Linked DNA regions of Drosophila melanogaster. The protein of the gene in region 3 purifies or fractionates together with the protein of the main gene of each other region. This does not show direct contact. Each region holds a gene or a part of one and is shown on either strand. Other genes may lie near its edges.

The links.
Region 1: the proteins of Lrpprc2 (region 3) and CG13126 purify together in Drosophila melanogaster (affinity purification with mass spectrometry, with the first as the bait; one large-scale study listed by BioGRID). This does not show direct contact.
Region 2: the proteins of Lrpprc2 (region 3) and Upf1 purify together in Drosophila melanogaster (affinity purification with mass spectrometry, with the first as the bait; one large-scale study listed by BioGRID). This does not show direct contact.

Annotation. Positions count from the first base shown.
Region 1 is NT_033779.5:9,951,572-9,956,164, forward strand, and holds CG13126 (uncharacterized protein), read right to left. Parts: upstream 2,611-4,593; 5' UTR 2,523-2,610; coding exon 1,539-2,522; intron 1,477-1,538; coding exon 1,187-1,476; intron 1,128-1,186; coding exon 1,010-1,127; 3' UTR 501-1,009; downstream 1-500. Other genes in the region: CG4709 (uncharacterized protein), read left to right, coding at 2,943-2,963, 3,025-3,942, 4,003-4,593.
Region 2 is NC_004354.4:11,899,496-11,907,404, reverse strand, and holds Upf1 (Upf1 RNA helicase), read left to right. Parts: upstream 1-2,033; 5' UTR 2,034-2,370; intron 2,371-2,428; 5' UTR 2,429-2,493; coding exon 2,494-2,661; intron 2,662-2,723; coding exon 2,724-6,056; intron 6,057-6,125; coding exon 6,126-6,167; 3' UTR 6,168-7,409; downstream 7,410-7,909. Other genes in the region: CG43156 (uncharacterized protein), read left to right, coding at 741-953. UniProt on the Drosophila melanogaster protein: RNA-dependent helicase and ATPase required for nonsense-mediated decay (NMD) of mRNAs containing premature stop codons.
Region 3 is NC_004354.4:1,455,638-1,463,753, reverse strand, and holds Lrpprc2 (Leucine-rich pentatricopeptide repeat containing 2), read left to right. Parts: upstream 1-3,136; 5' UTR 3,137-3,195; coding exon 3,196-5,491; intron 5,492-5,552; coding exon 5,553-6,475; 3' UTR 6,476-6,579; downstream 6,580-8,116. Other genes in the region: Ns3 (nucleostemin 3), read left to right, coding at 1-1,108, 1,176-1,381, 1,442-1,660; CG14787 (uncharacterized protein), read left to right, coding at 2,109-2,891; CG14785 (uncharacterized protein), read left to right, coding at 6,808-7,731, 7,805-8,004, 8,059-8,116.

The DNA of each region.
Region 1 (4,593 bases), on a different chromosome or scaffold from region 3:
AAAATGTATATAAAGATGAAAAATTCACTATCAGCCATTATAGTACAAGATTAGATCAATGAGTTGCTCTAAATGAAGTTTAATAGAAGAGTATAAGCCCTATTATACGAAGTCTCACAGGATAGTCCCTTGTTATGTATCCACGGCTCGTTGCTCTGAAACACACCTTGTTCCAAAGCCAATCCCTAAAACCCGATGTACATGGAAGTAGTCCTTCCGCACCCACTCCCCTTTCCATCGGCTAGCCACATTTCGCGCCCCACATTTTGGCCTTTTCCAACCACATAATGTCCTTTGATGGCACACAGGACTTCGAGGTGCGATGAATGGCTACGGGGATGATCCGCGGTCGTTAAAAGGGCGCGTCTCCCATTAAGACTTCGAAACTCTCATAACTAAATGTCAGCCAAACTGGGATTGGCTTACGAAACGCAGATATTCAGTCCAGACATTTCGACTAAGAAATCTATTATCCCTAATTAAAAGACAGGAGACTCTTTGATTTGCCAAAACTTGTATTTTGGCATTTAAATATATATTTAACAACATTATTGTACAAATGAAATACGTTTTTAAATTCAAGACTTAAACCTAAAACGCATAATGAAAGCAGTATGTGTATGGCACCTATATGTATGAACACTGGGCGTGCTGAAATCGCCGACCAATGGTCAGCCCAAGGCTCCTATATACAGGTGACATTATATAACACAACGATCCAAACCGGCGGGGCCAACCCATCCGCAGTCGCATCCGCCTTTTGTCTTGCCATACATTAAAATCCAGATGAGGGTGTGTTGGCCGTTGAACAAAATTTAGTATCAATGAGCATGCTCGCTTGCCATTTGAATTGTATGGTTAACTTAAATGCAACTGTTTAATTAAATTCAGCTCCACCCGCAACGATTTGTTTGCACATAATTAAGTCAACTAATTGGATGCCAGTTTTAGTATCAATTAGCTTCAGGTCGTGACTTTATGCCTAATATAATTGGTTCAACATCTTAGACTACGCCAAAACAGGTGGTTCCTCTGATTCGATTGATTCTTGTTTGATTTGCGGCTGTCCCAGCGACATAGGTAAACGATCACCCCACCGACTCACTTTTGCACAAGAATAGGCAGACCTGCAGAGAAAATACAATTGCTTAAGAGGAGTTTAAAAGCCTTTTGTGGTTCTACTTACTTTCCGTGCTTGGACTTCGTGAAGATAACCTCTTGGAGAGTGCCCTTTTCTGTGCAGAGCCGACAGATGGCATGCTTTGACCTTACCAAGGTGGGACGCACAATGCGCGGCCAGGAGCTTGAGCTATCGGATTGGGAACCCTTCTTCAGGATGGCATAACTGTAGAGGGAGGTGTGACGGTCTGCCAAGAAGTCGCTACCCAAACGCAGGGGAGCGTAGGAGATGGGAAAATTGCAGGGCGTTCGATCGGCCAGATCCCGAAGTCGAGGACAGACCAAATCATGCGGACACTAAAGGTATGTATAAATAAGTTAGATTACTACCCTTACATCGCAAATACGTTGAAACTTACTGGTGCCACAGTGTGACCTTCTTGTTCCTGTTCCAACAAAAATTGCCTAGCCTCGTTGACTAACTCGCTGCCACGGCGCGTTCCCTCCTCCACAATGACCAGGTAACCATCGCACTTCCGCCACAGATTCCGCAGCACATCCTCCCGCTGCTCTTTGTTCTCCAACTCAAAAAGCGTATGAGATATAATGACCAGATCATAATTGGTTTCGATGGCGGGCAGGAACTGTCGATAAAATACATTGCGCAGGGCTATTTGCTTGTTCTCATGGCCATCGCGCAGAATGAGCTCTGATATCTCATTCATCTCCCTGGACCTGTCCACGTTGTAGTACTCGAATATGTGTTCGCGCCACAGTTCGCTGGCCACCCACATACCGGTTCCAATGCCGGATCCGAAGTCAAAGAAGCTTCGTGGCCGAAACTGTTCATCCCGCTGCGCCAGCTCCGTGAGAACGCGCTTCAACACGGCGTACTCCTGGGCACCACGAGCTATGGCGTACACAAGCGACTCGTATGCTCCATATTCTATTCGCTTCCAGGCGTAGATACGCTGACCCAGCCTCTTGTTGATCTCCAGCTCCCGCTTGCGCCTCCAACGCTCCGCCTCGTCTTCGTCGAGTGTAGCTAGGCGATCCAGAGGCATCTTCGTGTTGACCTCTTCGATAACGATGCGTTTCTTGTTCTCAATCTCTTCCAGCGTGGGTGGTGGATGGCGGGATTTGATATAGGCGTTGAGCTGCTGGCCATCGTGGATTAGTTTTTTGACGGGATGATCCCCCACGATGCGCTTTAGCGTATCATTCAATTGTTTCGGCAGTTCCACATGATTGGGTCTCACTACTCCGGGATGTTTTCTGGGCTTCAGTGTGGCATGTTCCAGGGCAGAGACCACAGCTGGTTCAACGTCCACTGCAATCTTGCTGGTGAATCGGTGCAGTCGTGGCACTAGATTTCTCGTTGTGAAATTCAGTGAAAAATTCATATTAAATTCTAATTAGTTAAGTAATAAGTAACCGAGAAATCAAAACAAATGAGAGCCACACGAGTTTACCGGCGATTTGCCAGTGCTGTAAAAGTTCCAGTCCCATCAGCTGACGGTGCTGCCAGACGTTTTGCCTCAATCACAGATTCGGCTATATTAATAGCATCTTTTTTCTGTTTGAGTTAACATTTAATAGAATTCTTAATATACATATGTCTTAATAATAATAATTTTACTACCTTCAACCATATAAGCAATTTATATAAATAAATTTAAAAAGCAACCAAAAATAGTCGAGAAAACATAACAATTGAACAAAAAGAGTACTATAACCGTGACCTCTACTGTGTGCTTGCTCCTTAGAATCTGAAAACAAACTTGCCATCAGCACTATGTTGTAAATAATAAATTTAAAGAATAATGGAAGAATACGAAGCACAAGTGAGCAAAGGTGATAACATGAGATCCCAACTATTTTTATGAAAATACTTGCATCAAACAGTTGCTCGTTGTGGAGCAGGCATTGGAAAATGCCGCGGATGATGCGCAACGCCAGGATCTTTTGGCCCTAAAGAACAATCTGCAGGAGCTGTTGGCCCTCACCCGGGAATCAGGAGATGAAGCACCAATCGATGAACTACCTCAGCAGGGCGACAATCTGGATGATGAGCTGCAGCGGCTCAAAAGCGAACTTAATGACCTAGAGGCGGCCGGCTCCTCACAAACCGCGTTGGATGAAGAACGCCAGCTGGCTGACTTGCGAACCAAGTACACCGCCATGGTGGGCGAGAAGTGCTCCGCACCACACGAGCACAGTTGGGGCACCTGCTACCACAATGCCCTCATCTGCGGAGTGGACGACGAGGTGGTTATGAACAGCGAAGGCGTCTTGGATGCTCGACTAAGGGTTCTCTTTACGAATCCCACGCATCGAGAAATGCTGCCCTGTTCGTATTACCTCGAAGGCGAGTGCCGCTTTGATGAGGCCAAGTGTCGCTTTTCCCATGGCGCCCTTGTCACCGGTAGCTCCATTAGAAAATATAATCCACCCGATTTCCACAAACTCTCCCGCAGTCGTCCAGTTTTTGCCCTGCTACCAGATCGATTGTGGCATCGAGGTCGTGTCCTTTGTGTAAATTTCGTAGAGCAGATATGCCGCGTCCGCTTGGATGGGCAGGATCACAAGGAGCGGGAACGAGACTTCAAGTTCGAAGAACTGTATCCACTTACCACCGATCAGGATGAGGATGACGAGCTCTCCAGCGAGGAGAGCAACTCCAGCATGAACGACAACAGCAGTGACGAGGCGGAGTCGGATATGGATGATCTGGAGGAAGCTAGAAGAGCACGCATGGTCGAGTTGAGTTTGTTTACCTTTAAGCCGACGGAACGACTTGGCGCCTGGGAGGAGTTCACACGGGTATGTTGAGCAGATTACGATTCAGAAAACTTAAATTCCTATAAATACTATTCCCTATAGGGCATCGGCTCTAAGCTTATGGAGAAAATGGGTTACATCCATGGTACTGGTCTTGGCTCAGATGGAAGGGGAATCGTCACCCCGGTAAGCGCCCAGATACTTCCCCAGGGTCGATCTCTAGATGCCTGCATGGAGCTGCGTGAGGCCGCCAACGGGGACAAGGATTATTTTAGCGTGGAACGAAAGCTAAAGCGCGCCCAGCGACGACAGCGAAAGGCTGATGAGAAGGCCTACGTCCGTGAGTCACAACGTGTGGATGTCTTTACATTCTTAAACGACAGTGTTTTGGGGCCTGGAGAAAGCACTCAGCAAGGCGAGCAGGTGACCAAGAAAGCTAAGACCAACGAGCTACAGCAGCACTCAACCAAAACTCTTAACGTGGAAACAGTGCGAATTGCTGATGAAATCCGCCGAAAGCAAAGAGATATGGCCAAGGTTAAACAGTCCCTGGACCGGAATTCTGGAGATGCGCAGCTCCAGAAGCGACTACAAGTGCAGATGCAAAGCCACAAACAGGAGCTAGCCACGCTGCAGGCACAGGAACGCAGCTTAAGCAAGGAACAGCAGACGCGTAAAAGCAAGAATAAAATG
Region 2 (7,909 bases), about 10 Mb from region 3:
GCGGCCTTGGTTTCATTTCATTACTTCTTAAATTTGAAACCACACACGGAATGCTTGTGGGATTTCAAAAAACATTTCAATACCTCCACAATCGAGTGGAAATATATTTGCAGATCTGCCCTTGTAAAAGGAGATATATTATCAGACAAATTTGCAAAAATTGCAAAATGAAGTTTAATATGCAAACCACTAGGAAATAAAATGCTTAAAGGGTTAAATATTCAAATTCTCAAAATCAGAAAAAAAAAAACGTTTTTCCGTTACCTTAAGACATAAAATGAAGTAAATAAATAACAACATGAAGTAAAATAGCAAAATTTTTTTCCTTTGAGATTTATACAATTATTTTCCCAAGTGTATATTTTAAATGATGAATGCGCATTTTTTGATTTTTTCACTGACGCAGTTTGAGGAAAATGCCCAAACATATGCACATACATATGTACCTATATGTGAATGAATGTAAATTTATGAAGCCCTCGCTCAATTCAAGTAAAACAACATTTTTTCTGAAATCAAACCGTTTCAGAGACTCGAGCGAGTCACACGTAAATTATCCCGATCTGCTAATTAATTGTTTAGTACAGCTTTTTGAACCGAAAACTTGAACACAATCAATGTGAGTGATGACAATTCACAAATTGCATAGATATTGCATAATTGATTCCTTTATAAAACATATTTGAAATCAGTTTTTGTGTTATAGGTGGACATTGTTCAAATCTAATGGAAATTCTAAAATGAACATCAACAGCGATTCGAACCAGGAACAATACTACAGACGAAATATTTTAGGGAAAGTTAATGCTGCAGATTGCGCAAGCTATTCCCATAATTTATTTATTGATTATAAGCTACAATTATTTTTCTGGGCTGCAGTATGCTGCTGCGTTCTCACGTTTTTGATTTGTCTGGCAATATGTATTTCGATATATATATATTTTATACGCTAATCAAAGTTAAAGTTATACGAAGTTCAATCTAAGATAACCACTGTATTTTTATTTATGGGAAAGCCTTTTATTTATGCTCATTTGTTCACATTCGAATGGTTTCTTGTTTATTTCAACTTTGGCGTTGAAAGCGTTTCCGACTATATAAAGCATATATATTATTGATCAGTATCAATAGCCGAGTCGATCTAGCTATGTCCCTCTGTCTGTCTGTCCGTATGAGGAACTATAAAAGCTAGAAGGTTGAGATTCAGCATACAGATTCTAGAGACAAAGACGCAGCGCAAGTTTGGTGACCCATGTTGCCACGCCCACTCTAACGCCCACACTTCTGAACCATTTTTTGAAATTTTTCATAATTTTTTTAGTTGCCAAACTGCGAAAAGACACGCCCACTCTAACGCCCTAGGGCAGCCGAACCGGTCACGCCCACAGTTTGGAACATTTTTTTTAATTTTTCTCATTTTATTCCCCAATATCTATCGATATCCCAGAAAAATGATAAAATTTCGCGTTCGCATTCACACTTGCTGAGTAACGGGTATCTTATAGTCGGGGAACTTGACTATAGCACTCTCTCTTGTTTTTTTTTATTTCCCTTAATGATTACAAGGAACCCTTGCTTCTGAAGGCAAATCTTGATGAGTCACATTATTGACAAAGAAAATATATATTTATATCATATATATTTATTGGGAACGAAAAAAGTTTTGATTATAATGATTGCCTTCGCAACTAAAACTTTAACCTGTAGGAAATACTTGAAGGTTTTATTTTTTCTTCCATTTTATCCAACAAGTTATTTCAAGTTAAACCTTATGGTTAAATCCTGTTTGTAATAGTTTATTATAAGGTCGACTATATAAGTACTTTTAAATAAATACGCAATACGGGAGTCCTATGTTTGTTTATTCATTTCATAAATTTTGGCGATTTTGGCGTTTTCCAAAATAAACAGTAATTTATGGTATAATTACTAAAAAGACAATACTTAAACGATATATTATTCACCCCATCACCGATAGTATCTATAGTCAACTTGCCCAACACTAGCGATTGATGTTGCCATACGCGATTATCGATAGACCCCTCGTGAGTCAAATGCAAACTGACGTATATTTATTACTGGCAAAACAGGCCGGGCAAATTTGTTGAACAAGCAAGAAAGTTTTCGCTTTTTTTAATCCTACATTCCCCGCAATAGCGTGGGAATCTCGTACAGACTCAATTTAAAACACACAACAGCCACAGTTTCGAAAGAGTGCCGAACGGCGGGCTCCCGAACACGGAAAGCGCGAAACGCACACACGACACCATCGCCATACCATAATCATCGCGGCCACGCTCCAAGCTTAGGAATTTTTCAATTCCGGAAACACTGACCAAGCGATCCGTGGTCTAGGAGCAGGTACTATAGGTGAGCATCAGTCCCATCCGAGTTACGTACCTATCGGCCAATGCACATTGCTAACTAGATCTCATCGCGATCCCTGCGGAAACGCAGCATAATCACCTTGGGTGAGAAGAAACAACAGGCGCCATGAGCGTGGACACGTACGCGCCCAGCTCGGCGCTCTCGTTCCTGGACATGGACGACAACGAGCTGCTTCCGGGAGCGGATACTCAACCCACGCAGTACGATTACCGCGACTTTACCATGCCCTCCACCTCGCAGAGCCAGACCCAGAACGATCAGCTGGAGATTGCCGTGAGTTGTCCCCCAAATCATTCCGCGAAACCCAAATGGCATATACCCTTTTTAATTTACAGCAACGCTGCTCTGCCGGAGACTCGCATCCACGACTGGCCAGCATCACCAACGATCTGGCCGATCTGCAGTTCGAAGAGGAGGACGACGAGCCTGGCAGCTCGTATGTGAAGGAGCTGCCGCCGCATGCGTGCAAGTATTGCGGCATCCATGATCCAGCCACGGTGGTCATGTGCAACAACTGCCGCAAATGGTTTTGCAACGGTCGTGGAAGCACTTCCGGTTCGCACATCATCAACCATCTGGTGAGGGCCAAGCATCGCGAGGTGACGCTCCACGGGGAAGGTCCCCTGGGCGAGACAATCCTGGAGTGCTACTCCTGTGGTGTGCGCAACGTCTTTGTGCTGGGCTTCATTCCGGCCAAGGCCGATTCTGTGGTCGTGCTGCTCTGCCGTCAGCCGTGTGCCGCCCAGAATTCGCTAAAGGATATGAACTGGGACCAGGAACAGTGGAAGCCTCTAATTGCAGACCGCTGCTTTTTGGCCTGGCTGGTAAAGCAACCCAGCGAACAGGGACAGCTGCGAGCTCGCCAAATCTCAGCCGCTCAGATCAACAAGCTGGAGGAGCTATGGAAGGAGAATATTGAGGCCACGTTTCAGGATCTGGAGAAGCCAGGCATTGACTCGGAGCCAGCACATGTGCTACTCCGCTACGAGGATGGCTATCAGTACGAGAAGACCTTTGGGCCGCTGGTCCGCCTTGAGGCCGAATACGACCAAAAACTGAAGGAGTCTGCCACGCAGGAGAACATCGAAGTACGCTGGGACGTCGGCCTCAACAAAAAGACCATTGCCTACTTTACGCTGGCGAAGACCGATTCGGACATGAAGCTCATGCATGGCGACGAGCTGCGCCTGCATTATGTGGGCGAGCTGTACAATCCGTGGAGCGAGATCGGCCACGTTATCAAGGTGCCGGACAATTTCGGCGATGACGTCGGCCTGGAGCTGAAATCCTCAACGAATGCCCCGGTTAAGTGCACCAGTAACTTTACGGTGGACTTCATCTGGAAGTGCACGTCATTTGATCGCATGACACGTGCTCTGTGCAAATTCGCCATCGATCGCAATTCAGTGTCGAACTTCATCTACTCGCGCCTGTTGGGCCACGGTCGTGCGGATTCCAACGACGAGGTGCTGTTCCGCGGCCCACAACCCAAGCTCTTCAGTGCCCCGCATCTGCCGGATTTGAATCGCAGCCAGGTGTATGCCGTGAAACACGCGCTTCAGCGTCCGCTCTCGCTAATCCAAGGGCCGCCTGGCACGGGCAAAACCGTGACCTCGGCGACCATCGTTTACCAGCTGGTCAAGCTCCATGGTGGCACAGTGCTGGTGTGCGCTCCCAGCAACACGGCCGTGGATCAGCTAACTGAGAAGATCCACCGAACAAACCTTAAAGTGGTGCGTGTTTGCGCCAAGAGCCGTGAGGCCATCGATAGCCCGGTAAGCTTCCTGGCGCTGCACAACCAAATCCGTAACATGGAGACCAACTCGGAGCTAAAGAAGCTGCAGCAGCTGAAAGACGAGACCGGCGAGCTGAGCTCAGCAGACGAAAAGCGATACCGCAACCTGAAACGTGCCGCCGAGAACCAACTGCTGGAGGCTGCCGACGTTATCTGCTGCACATGCGTAGGCGCCGGCGATGGTCGTCTATCGCGAGTCAAGTTCACCTCGATCCTGATCGATGAGTCTATGCAGTCGACGGAGCCGGAGTGCATGGTGCCAGTGGTGCTGGGCGCTAAGCAGCTGATCCTCGTGGGCGATCACTGCCAGCTGGGACCGGTTGTTATGTGCAAGAAAGCAGCTCGTGCCGGCCTCTCGCAAAGTTTGTTCGAGCGCCTGGTGGTTCTGGGCATCCGTCCGTTCCGGCTGGAGGTGCAATATCGCATGCACCCCGAGCTGTCCCAGTTCCCGTCCAACTTCTTCTACGAGGGATCGCTGCAAAACGGCGTCTGCGCGGAGGATCGTCGCCTTAAGCTTGATTTCCCCTGGCCACAGCCGGAGAGACCGATGTTCTTTCTGGTAACACAGGGACAGGAGGAGATTGCCGGCTCCGGCACCTCTTTCCTCAACCGCACAGAGGCGGCCAACGTGGAAAAGATTACGACGCGATTCCTTAAGGCAGGCATCAAGCCGGAACAAATTGGAATCATCACGCCTTACGAAGGTCAGCGCGCTTACCTGGTGCAGTACATGCAATACCAGGGCAGCCTGCACTCTCGTCTATACCAGGAGATCGAGATCGCCAGTGTGGACGCGTTCCAGGGACGTGAGAAGGACATCATTATCATGTCTTGCGTGCGATCTAACGAACGTCAAGGCATCGGCTTTTTGAACGACCCACGTCGCCTTAATGTTGCCCTTACACGGGCCAAGTTCGGGATCATCATTGTGGGCAATCCCAAAGTGCTCGCCAAGCAGCAGCTGTGGAACCATCTGCTCAACTTCTACAAGGACCGTAAGGTGCTCGTCGAGGGATCTCTGAATAACCTTAAGGAGTCGCTAATCCACTTCCAGAAGCCCAAAAAGCTTGTCAACAGCATGAACATTGGGGCACACTTTATGTCCACCATTATTGCCGATGCCAAGGAAGTGATGGTGCCAGGCTCCATTTACGACCGCAGTGGCGGTTACGGCCAAGGTCGCCAAATGGTGGGACAGTCAATGAATGGCGGACAGTACGGTGGCAGTGGAGGTGGTCCCTACGGAAACTCACCCCTCGGCTACGGTACTCCCAGCTCCAATTCCATGGTGGGCTTTGGCCTGGGCAACGGAGGCAATGGCGCGGCCGGTGGCAACAACAACTTCGGAGGGGCTGGACCCAGTTGGGCGGCTGCCCACCTCCACCACGACTCCATTGGCTATATATCCAACGAGCATGGAGCAGCAGCACTGGGCAACATGCCAGTTCCGGTTGGCATGTTCATGAACATGAGCAATATTCCGCCGCGTTTCTACAACCAGCACCAGCAGGCGATCATGGCGGTCAAGCAGAATCGCGCCATTCAACAACAGACGGGTAATTTCTCTCCCGGTAACTCGGGTCCTGGAGTCACTGGAGTCGGAGTCGGACGAAGCGCCACCCCAGGCGGCAATAAGAAGACCAACAAGCTGGGAAAATCGCGCGTAACGGGCGGTGGAACTGGCGGGGCACCGCTAACACAAGGAAGCTCGGTATGCAATGCTGCTCCATACAGTCAGCACCCGATGCCTTTGTCGCTGCAGATGACCCAGCCCAGCGGATTTGCTCTGTCCCAGCAGCCGGAACTTTCACAGGACTTTGGGCAAATATCGCAGATGGACGGTTTGCTATCCCAGGATGTTGCCTTTAACGCGGTAAGTGTGGAAGTGATATTTTTGAAACCCAAAGAGTGTTAGGTAATCTGAATTATTTGTGTTTCGCAGTCGGGCGAGCGGAGCTTGAATCAGTTCTCACAGCCTTATTGAGAATCCGGTTGGAGGTGCAACAACTACAAACGATAACAAGCAACACAAACGAAACAACAACAAACTCAACTTTGAAGTCATCATCAAGGAGTAGCATCAGTAGGCAGCAGGAAAAAGCAGAGAGGACCATCACGGGAACAACGACAGATGCGGGAAACAATGCGACCTAAGAACATTAGGACAAAGCGGGACATTAAAAGATGGCAAATCGAGACGAGGCAGCGTGATAGATGGAGACGGATATGGCAAGATGTGGAGTTACAAAGTAATAAAGAAGACTGAGACGGGAGAGAGATGTCGAAAGATCGAAATATCGAGAGCAAATCACTGTAGGCTGCCAGGATGCACAGCTGCAGTTGCTGTTTCCGTAGCGCCGCGGGCCATGGAGTCATAGCCAGGCGACATGCCATTGGCCACCGGCCATTGGCCATTGGTCACGAGTGCGCTCCCGAGACGGAGTTCGCCCACGGATGAGCCAATCTGCCAGCAAGGCGCCACACAAGATGGACAACTTCTCGACACGTTTCTTTTCTCTTTTGCCAGCCCAGGATTCGCAGCCGGAGCCTAACAAAGACGCAATCACTCCCGCCCAGGACATGTATTCACCAAGTGGCTTATCTTCTAACCTTCTTCTGGCCTCTAGTGCAGCAGCCAATCTTTAGCTCCTGTTTTAACATTTTCCCACCCAAAGCGGTTTATACCGATCCCCATATATGTATGCCCACTGTTGTACATTTTTGGACTCTTTTTTGATGCATTTGTTATCCTAACAAACACGAAAACAAAATCAAACAAAAACAAGGAAAATCACGCAAACAAAGAATCAAGACGAAACAAAATCAAATTTAAAAAACATGGATACACCATTTATAATCGCTCGGGAACGCTGGCGGATCCCCCCAAGCGGATGCAGGCTTCCAGCGCAGTTCGGATATCGAATGGTTGATAGGAAAACGCATTGCGATTTACCGATCTACATAGGTACACTACAAAAAAAAAAACACCACAAAAAAACAGGCGAACATTAACAAACTGAACCAACGGAGTAAATGATCAGGATCAGAAAAGGTTAGTTATTAATAATATTAATGCAGTTACAGATGCCTGATCATTGTTTTTAAAACGACATGAAAATCGTATATATTTTCTATATATTGTCAGTTAATTCTTCCTCCATGCGACTCTTTGTATCAAGAAAATGGAACATTTTGTTTGAAATTCAAAATAAAGAATTCCCTTGCGAAAAAAAAAAAACCAATATTCGCGCCAAGAATTTTCTCTTTGGGGCACGTGAAAATTGAATTTATATTCGAGTTTCCAGACACTTGGCTGTTTTGTTGCTTTTTAATTTACAGAACTTGCAATTTTACATTTTCGGATGACATGTTGTTTTTCAAATAGATACATACACACCACTGGAGGAACGAACATCGCACACCTCCGTGGCTGTTTACAATAATTAATGGAATGCGAGCAAACAATTCGAGTGTTTAAAGGTATAAATAGGAGAATATAATAACATTTAACAAGATAATGTATGTAATGTAAAAGTGTATTGAAATTCGATTCCAGTCGGGCTGCTTTCACGTTCTTTTCCGTACGGATGATTCGGTTCGGATTCTTTTGAATTTCAATTTACAAGCTTTCCTGTTTCGATTTAACATTGCTGCACATATTACCTATCCATTTAGTTTCTTCATTCTTGTTTCCAAGTACCATAAAGTTGTTGTACTTTCTTTTTA
Region 3 (8,116 bases):
CAGGAGCAGCGCATGCACCAGAAGCACGACGAGCACCGTGACCAGCTCAAGATCCCGCGGCGGCCCAAGTGGACCAAGGAGACGAGCGCCGAGGAGCTAGTGCGAGCCGAGAACGAGGCATTTCTCGACTGGCGCCGCGACCTGGCGCTGCTGCAGGAGGACGAGGAGATCTTGATGACTCCGTATGAGAAGAACCTGGAGTTCTGGCGGCAGCTGTGGCGCGTAGTGGAGCGATCTGACGTCGTTGTGCAGATCGTAGACGCCCGTAATCCGCTGCTGTTCCGCAGCGCCGACCTTGAGCGCTACGTAAAGGAGGTGGAACCTAGCAAGATGAACATGATCCTGGTAAACAAGTCGGACCTGCTCACTGAGGAACAGCGTCGCCACTGGGCGGAGTACTTTGACAGCGAGGGTATTCGCACGGCCTTCTACTCGGCCACGCTGGTAGAGGAGGAGTTGAAGCGGGAGGCGGAGGAGTGCCTGGATTCCTTTCCCGAGGTGCAACAGCTGCGCAGAGCAGTTGAGGAGATAAAACAGTCGTTGGATAGCGTGGAGGACGCTTTGAACGTTATCGAGCAGAAATATAAGACGATTCCCGAGACTCAAAACGATGAGCTGCCACGATTGCCCGGGGACAAGAACAGTCCCCGACTGCTGTCCCGCCTGGAGCTCATTGAGTTCCTGCGAAACATCTACACCGGTCCCCGGCACACAGAGCAGCACGTGACCGTCGGAATGGTCGGCTACCCAAACGTTGGCAAAAGTAGCACCATCAACTCGCTGATGACAGTGAAGAAGGTGTCCGTTTCGGCCACGCCGGGCAAAACTAAACGCTTCCAGACGCTTTTCCTGGACAAGGACATACTGCTCTGCGACTGTCCCGGTCTGGTGATGCCGAGTTTTGTGTTAACCAAGGCGGACATGTTGCTCAACGGCATCCTGCCCATTGACCAAATGCGCGATCACGTTCCCGCCGTCAACTTGCTGTGCGAGCGCATTCCGCGCCACGTCCTTGAAGACAAATACGGTATTGTGATAGCCAAGCCGCTGGAAGGCGAGGACATGGAAAGGCCACCGCATTCGGAGGAGCTGCTGCTGGCTTATGGATGTAAGTGCCAATGCTTTGCGCACGCATTTCAGTATTTCACAACGCACTCTTTCTCGCTCTTTTCCAGACAATCGCGGTTTTATGACCTCCAACGGGCAGCCGGATCAGGCGCGTTCCGCCAGGTATGTGCTTAAAGACTACGTCAATGGCAGACTGCTCTACGCCATGAGCCCGCCCTCTGTACCGCAGACCGAGTATCACACCTTTCCCGAACGCCAGCGCAGGGTCATCGAGGAATCACAGCTGCCCGGCCAACAGCAGCGAGCCATGCGGGTGAGATTTGCCCTTTGCACTAGACGTGATTCCTTTGCTAACTGATCGCGTTTTCCGCAGATCAACAAAAGCACGTCCAAGGAGCTAGACAACCAATTCTTCTCCGACAAGCCTACGCACGCCCACGTCAAAGGACGCACTAACTTCCCTAACGTGCGCCTGGCCAACGACGGGTCCCTAGTAGCCGGCAATGATCCGGCGGCCAAGCCCTGGCGTCATGTGAAGAAGGAGAGGCGCGAGAAGCTGCGCAAAAAGTTCTCGCACCTGGACGAGCACTGATTGTAGCCCATTAGTTATTTATTCCGAAGGGTGTGTCTAAGAGGCACTTGTACATTTTAAGCATTAAACCTACGTATATACATATATATTAAAGTCCCCCCGACTTCGAGAGTTTGAAGGCCCACAATCTCAGACTGAAAGAGTTATATTGCGCAACTAGCAGATTGAGAGAAACATAGATAAGCCATCTGATGGCCCAGCCTGGACACAACGATTAACACAAAGATAGCATATATTTAGCATACACACCAATGAAAGCAAACTGTTGTTGGAATGGCGCCCCCAATTGAGTTTAAGAGATGCGTGAATGGAAGGTAATTTCGAGATGCGGAGGAGCGCAGTTGCGCGGAGAAAAGAAGCCTGCACTTTGACCGCGTGATAAGCGCAGATGCTTACGGCTCTTGTCTTCTATCACTTGGCCACAGTCTCTATCACGCAGTCTTCAGCGATGGCCACAAACGAGAGCTGCAAGCACTTCAGGGAGCTGGTCGTCGAACAGCGTTCTGGGCTGCTCCACATACGCTTCCAGCGGCGCTGGCAACGCCGAACCCTCTACGAGCTGATGCGCGCCCTGGACCTGGCGAGTGCAGACGCCGCCGTTAAGGTGGTCGTGCTCTCGGGCGAGTTTTCTGCAGCATGTGGCGGTGAGATGGAACCGTTGGCTCTCAAACAGGGTCTGGAGAATAGGAGTAGGCGTACCGCTTCCCACGAAGAAGCTGTGGGCAGTGGTGATGCCGAGGAGCAGTACATCCATGAGAAGGCGGCCAATTTTGTGATGCGCTCGCTGGCCAAGAAGCTGCTTGTGCACCGCAAACTCCTAGTGGCTTTTGTGGAGAGGCAGTGCGTCGGTCTGGGCCTGAGCGTGTGCAGCCTGTGCGATCTGGTCTTCGCAACGGAGTTATCTGCCTTTGTGCCCGCTTTCTCGCACCTGGATCCCTGCACCAAGGTGGGTCCCGGCTGGACTGTGCCACACGTCCACTGGCTGCTTCGTCTGGGCGATCAAGCGAGCTCCAGCATTGCCCTCCAGTGTGGCCTTGTGGCCAGTGTGGTGCGAGAGCCGCAGGAGTTTTGGCACCGCGTCGACCAATACTTGCGCTTGCCTTCCGCCTCCCTGTTGGCGACAAAGCGCCTCCTGTTTCGTCCCTGGCAGGACTCCCTCTTGGCCGAATTGCGCGAGGAGGGCACTCCGCTGGCTGCGCAGCGACGCCGCTTGGCCAGATCCTCGCTGTAGGGTTGCGCTTCCAGATCCGTTGAATCGATTAAGTAAATAAATAGCGATTATAAAATAATGACATGTCCCCATGGTATTTCTTTTCATTCCTTTCATTGGAGCTCCATGACTTAACTTAAACTTTAAATCAAAATCTGCAACGGAAACGGGTATGCATATACAGATGGGCAGCACTGTTTTCGATATCTTTCGACTGGAAGGCACAGCTGATTGCCGGCGCGTGTTGTTTTTTTTTTGTTGCTCGCCGCAAAACTGCGAAAGTAAAATCTCGTAATTTTGGGGAAGATTAATTAACTTGGGCAAAATGCAGCGAGCACGACTGTTGCGGAACGTGTGGCTCTGCAGGCAGCGCTTGGGCCATCTGCCAGGACGCAGCGCTTCCTCCGCCAGCCTGGCATTCCGTTATGCAACGAAGCCTGCGGCGCCAGCGGTGCCGTTCTCGCTGCTCCAGATGCGATCCCTGGGAACGGGTGGCGTCCTCAGTGCGGTGGAGCGAAGAAGCCGGCGCCCCGCCTCCTCCTCTGAAAAACCGAAAGCCAGCGTGGCGGATGCGTGGACACAGCTGGAGGCGTACTACCGGCAGCACGATCTGATCAACTTTGAGCACTGCCAGCGCCTGCTGGAGCTCCTGCAGGAGTCTGCGTCGCCGCTAGGAGTCGGCATCGAAGAGGTGCACTTCCTTCTAGGGTCCTGTGTGCCCGAACTGCTTCCTGCTCAGAGCAGCCAGGAGCGTCTTCAGCTCTTCAAGGGACTCTGGGCTCAACTGATCAAGTTGGGCCAGCCCACGCTGGCACATTACCACACGAAGCTCCAGGTGCTGCGCCAGAACCGTTTGCCTCTGACTGACTATCGCTCGTTGCTGGCGGAGATTGCCGTCTACCATGGAGCAGCCGATTCCACCTTGTACGGCGCTCTTTTGGACGTGGCCGGCGCCGCCGGAAACATGCGCATGGCCACCGAGATTTTGTCGGAGATGCGCGAGCGCAGCCTCGCCCTCACGGAGCACAACTTTCACGCCCTGCTTTTGGGCCACGCCCGCAGCGGTGATCTGCCCGGGGCGGAGTCCGTCCTAGCCAGCATGCGGGCCGCAGGAATACAGCAAGGCAGCAGCACTCAGGCCATTTGGTTCGAGGCTCTGCTGGAAAACGGTCAGTTGGCACAGGCCAAGGAGCTGCTGCAGGTGGAGCACGGATTCACCGCCCCTCAGCTGCTCCAGATGCTGCGGGGTCTGCTCGCCAGCAAGGATGTCGACACGGATCTAATCCAACTGCTTGTCAAGGAACTGCCCCGCGAGTTTCTAACAGGTATCGACCTGCCGCCCGCCATCAGAAGCCTGTGCATTCAGCTGGTGCACCAAGGACGCACCGAAGTCGTCATACAGCTCGTAGGTGCGTTGCCCGCTCCGAAGTTCGAGTTGCAGAATCAGAACGTGGATGAGTACGGTGCACTTCTGCTGCAGGAGTTCTTCCGCGCCCAAGTTCCGTTGGACCAAACAATCCAGTTCGCCGGTCAACTAGTGCAGCGGAACCAGAACGTCCGCGCCCTGCATTTGGTGGCGGAGTTGGCCCTTCGCCGTCAGCCATCATCCGCGCTACGCTGCCTGGAGGATCTATCTGCAGCCGGCGAGGAACTTCGTCCGCATTACTTCTGGCCCCTGATCTTGCACCATTACCGGCGGGAGGGCGAAAGCGGCATGCTACGCCTGGTTTCTGAAATGCGGCGCCTGCGCGTTGAGTGCGACGAGGAAACGTTGCGGCACTACCTGTTTCCCCACCTGCGCCAAACCCTGGTGCAGCCCTTGGAGGCCGTGAAGGCACTTGAATCGGCGGGGGTCAAGCCTTCCCAGACCCTGTGCCCGGTTGTGAGCCACTTGCTGCAGCAGCATCAGATGTCCGAGGTGCTGGACTTGCTTGATCGGTATCCGACACGCTTGGACCTGGCCACGCTGCTCCAACCACTTTCTTCGCTGGCGGTCAATGCCCGTGCCACGAAGCGTTTCGAGGTATTTGCCAAAGTGATCCAAGCCCTGCAGCAGAAGGCACTCAAACGGGGAGAAGATTTTGTGGGCTCCTTGCTGCTGCAAATGACTGGACCTCAGACGCGTCTGCGCCAGGATGCCACCTCGTTGCGACGTTTTCTGCACGAACTGAGACGCCTAGAGCTACAAATCTCACCCGCTGCCTCCGAAGCTCTACTCTCCGTGGTCCGGCACGCCACTGATGACGTTGACCTCATCCAGGATCTGGCCAAAACGCTGCAGAAGATGAAAAACCCACAGCTCGCCCTGCCAGCTGACACGGTCTCGCTCCACGGAGGCTTCATCAAGCACCCGCGCGACATGAGCATAGACGAGCTCGAGTGCCACCTAGTCGAGCTGGAGTCCAAGCAGCTGAACCCGCGAGGCGTGTTGCGTCGCTTGCTGCAGCTCTCGGTGCGCAGTGGGCGCTTGGAGCGCGCACAGCAGCTGTTGGCCAAGTGCCAAGTTCTGAAGGTTCAGGAAAGCGCAGGCATGATGGCCTCCATATTCGACCTACACATCAAGCTGCGCGACTTGCCGCGCGCCCAGGAGAGCTTGGAGCGACTGAGCAGCATGTATCCAGGTACCTAACAACTTACTACTAGATGTGAACTGCATTAATCCGCATACCGTTCTCTCTTAAGCCTTTCAGATTGACGAGCACAAAGTGATCGACTATGCCGCCCTCCTGGTCCAAGGCCAGCAGCTGGAGGCCGCAAAGCAGCTGCTCCAGCGACGCGCGGAGCAGCATAAGGTTGTCGGTGGCGACTATGTGATGAAGAACGTATGGCAATTGCTGACCAACGTGGGCCAGCTGGCCGCCTCTTCACATGCAGGTGGCGAGAGCTCCAAACAACTTAACCAGACTCGCGAGTGGTTGGACTTCCTCAGGGGTCTGGGCTACTGTCAATCGCAAAATGCCCTACTGGGACCAGTGGTCCGCGAGTGGCTGTTGAAGGGCAACTTGGACGCTGCGGTGGCCGAGTTTCAGCGACTGGCTAACACTCACAAGCACACGCCTCTGCAGTTCGAGCTCTTGTCCCTGCTGGTGCGACTGGGCAACGGGGACGAGCAGGAGCTGACCCGTTTTCCCGGCGTCACGGCCGAGTCCGCGCAGCAGCACCTAGCGGTGGTTACTGCGACTGTGAGTCGCATCCACGGAGCGGCCAATATGAACAGCGCTCTGCTGCTCGCCCTGGCCGAATCCGGAAAGGAGACACAGCTGCGCCGGCTGATCATCAACCCAGAGTTCCGCATCAACCACGAGCTCCTCGTGAAGAATTGCGAGCACTTGGGACAGGAGGGCGCTGTGCGGACGCTCCTGCGGCTGGCGCGCGGAGTGAGGGGTGTCCAGCGGACCATAGACGAGCAGAAGATCTACGACCTCCTGTTGGCCCAGTTCTGCCGTAGCAACGACTACGAGGCGGCGTTGGATCTCTTTGAGCGCTTGGAGGCCGACGACGAGCTGAAGGTGTCGCATGAGTTCCTTCGCAACCTTGTGCAGCTGCTGCAGGTGAACCAGGTTGAAATTCCCAGTACAATCGCCCTGCGCGCCCACGTTAGATAGCCGGGCGACGAGATAGATAGATCGTCGCTCTTATCCTTAGTTATACACTTGGTATGTATGTACACACATAAATTAGTGCAGTAAATACGAGACGGTATACCTGCAAGTCTGAAAGATCTTTTATAGCTTCTGGGTGTCCTGGTGCCACGTCTAGTAGGCCTGGCTTTTGAAACCTATTGTCATCTGGAATCTGTGCTCCGAAACGGTCACAAAGTTTTCACTCGTAGCATACAACAGTCTCCTAACAGCTTCTCCGAAACCCACTCCCAATCTAAATTTTAGTTTTTATTCGCGTTCAATCTGTGCAAGTTGCAACCCCTCCCTATCCAACCATGAAGCGGCTGTCCCGACGTCCGGTCTCCGATGAGCAGAAGGCCCAGATGGGCAACCAGATTCATGAGCAGGGCGCAATAGAGGTATTCATGTCGGTGGCCACCGTCTCGCCGCTACTCCGAACGCGGGTCCTTCCGCAGCTAAAGGATCAACAGGATCAGCTGAAGGACAAAAAGCAGGACCGCAGGCCGAAACCGGAGCCAGAGAAACTCGAGAGCGGCGCTCAGGGCGACGCCGGTTCCGCTTCCTCGACGTCGGCCCACGCTGTAAAGCTCTTGCCAATCGAGGGAGATCCAGCCAAGCTGAAGGCGCTGACCAGCCGCCAGCAAATTGCCAGCCTGCTCAATCACCTCGGCGACGGCGCAGAGGGCGATGGCGAGGCCAAGCAGATCGTGATGGAGCTGCTCGGCAGCGGGGTGCAGCCGCACTCGGCCATCGAGCGCGTTTCCGAACAGCTGTTGCACGTGCTGCGGGAGCAGACTCTGATGGAGGCCGGCATATTCGTCGGCAATGAGCGGTATCGCTTCTTTAAGGGCGTGCTGCAGAACTACGCCAAGATATACGCGGCGCGCAAATTTATAGATAAGCTGCCGAAGCTAGATCAGCTTGGCCCGGATGCGGGTGCGGAGCGCGAGCTGTTCGCCCGCGTCGTTGCGGAGGAGGTGCTGCAGATCCCGCAGCTGCTGCGCCAGCTGAGGTCGTCCCTGTCGAAGATGGAGTTCTTCAACGAGGACACCGCCTTCAAGGCCTACCTGGAAGTCCGTTATCACCCGCAGGCCCGTATCCTGTGCGAACTAATGCTCACCCGCATCTCTCGCGTCTTCCTCTGCATTGTCGGCTCACCATTCTTCCTGTACTTCACCGAGCACGAGCTCACGCACATCTTGCGAAACTGTTACCTCAGCGTCAACTCGGAGATCGAGGTGAGATCGTCAAATCATTTCCGTGTGGTCACTGGGTCATTCTCCTTCTAATTCAAACGATAACCATCGGCAGATATTCCTTTCCGTGGTGCTCTGGCTGGAGCACAACTGGCTTGAGCGCGGCGACTGCGCCGAGCGCATCTTAGCCGAGGTGCATTTCGCCTTGATGCCGACTTGGTACTTGTGCACCCTGGACAGGTCCAACCGGTGCAACCACTTTGCCCGAGTAATCCACAGTCCCGGCGTGCAACGCTTGATTGCCGCAGGCCTAGAGTAGGTTCCATTCTTGGGGGTTTGTACATCGCTTACGTGAACTGTTTCCCCCAGAGACGCCATCACCCTCAAGTCTAAGCCCCGCTTCAGTGGCGCCGCTTTACACCGACAA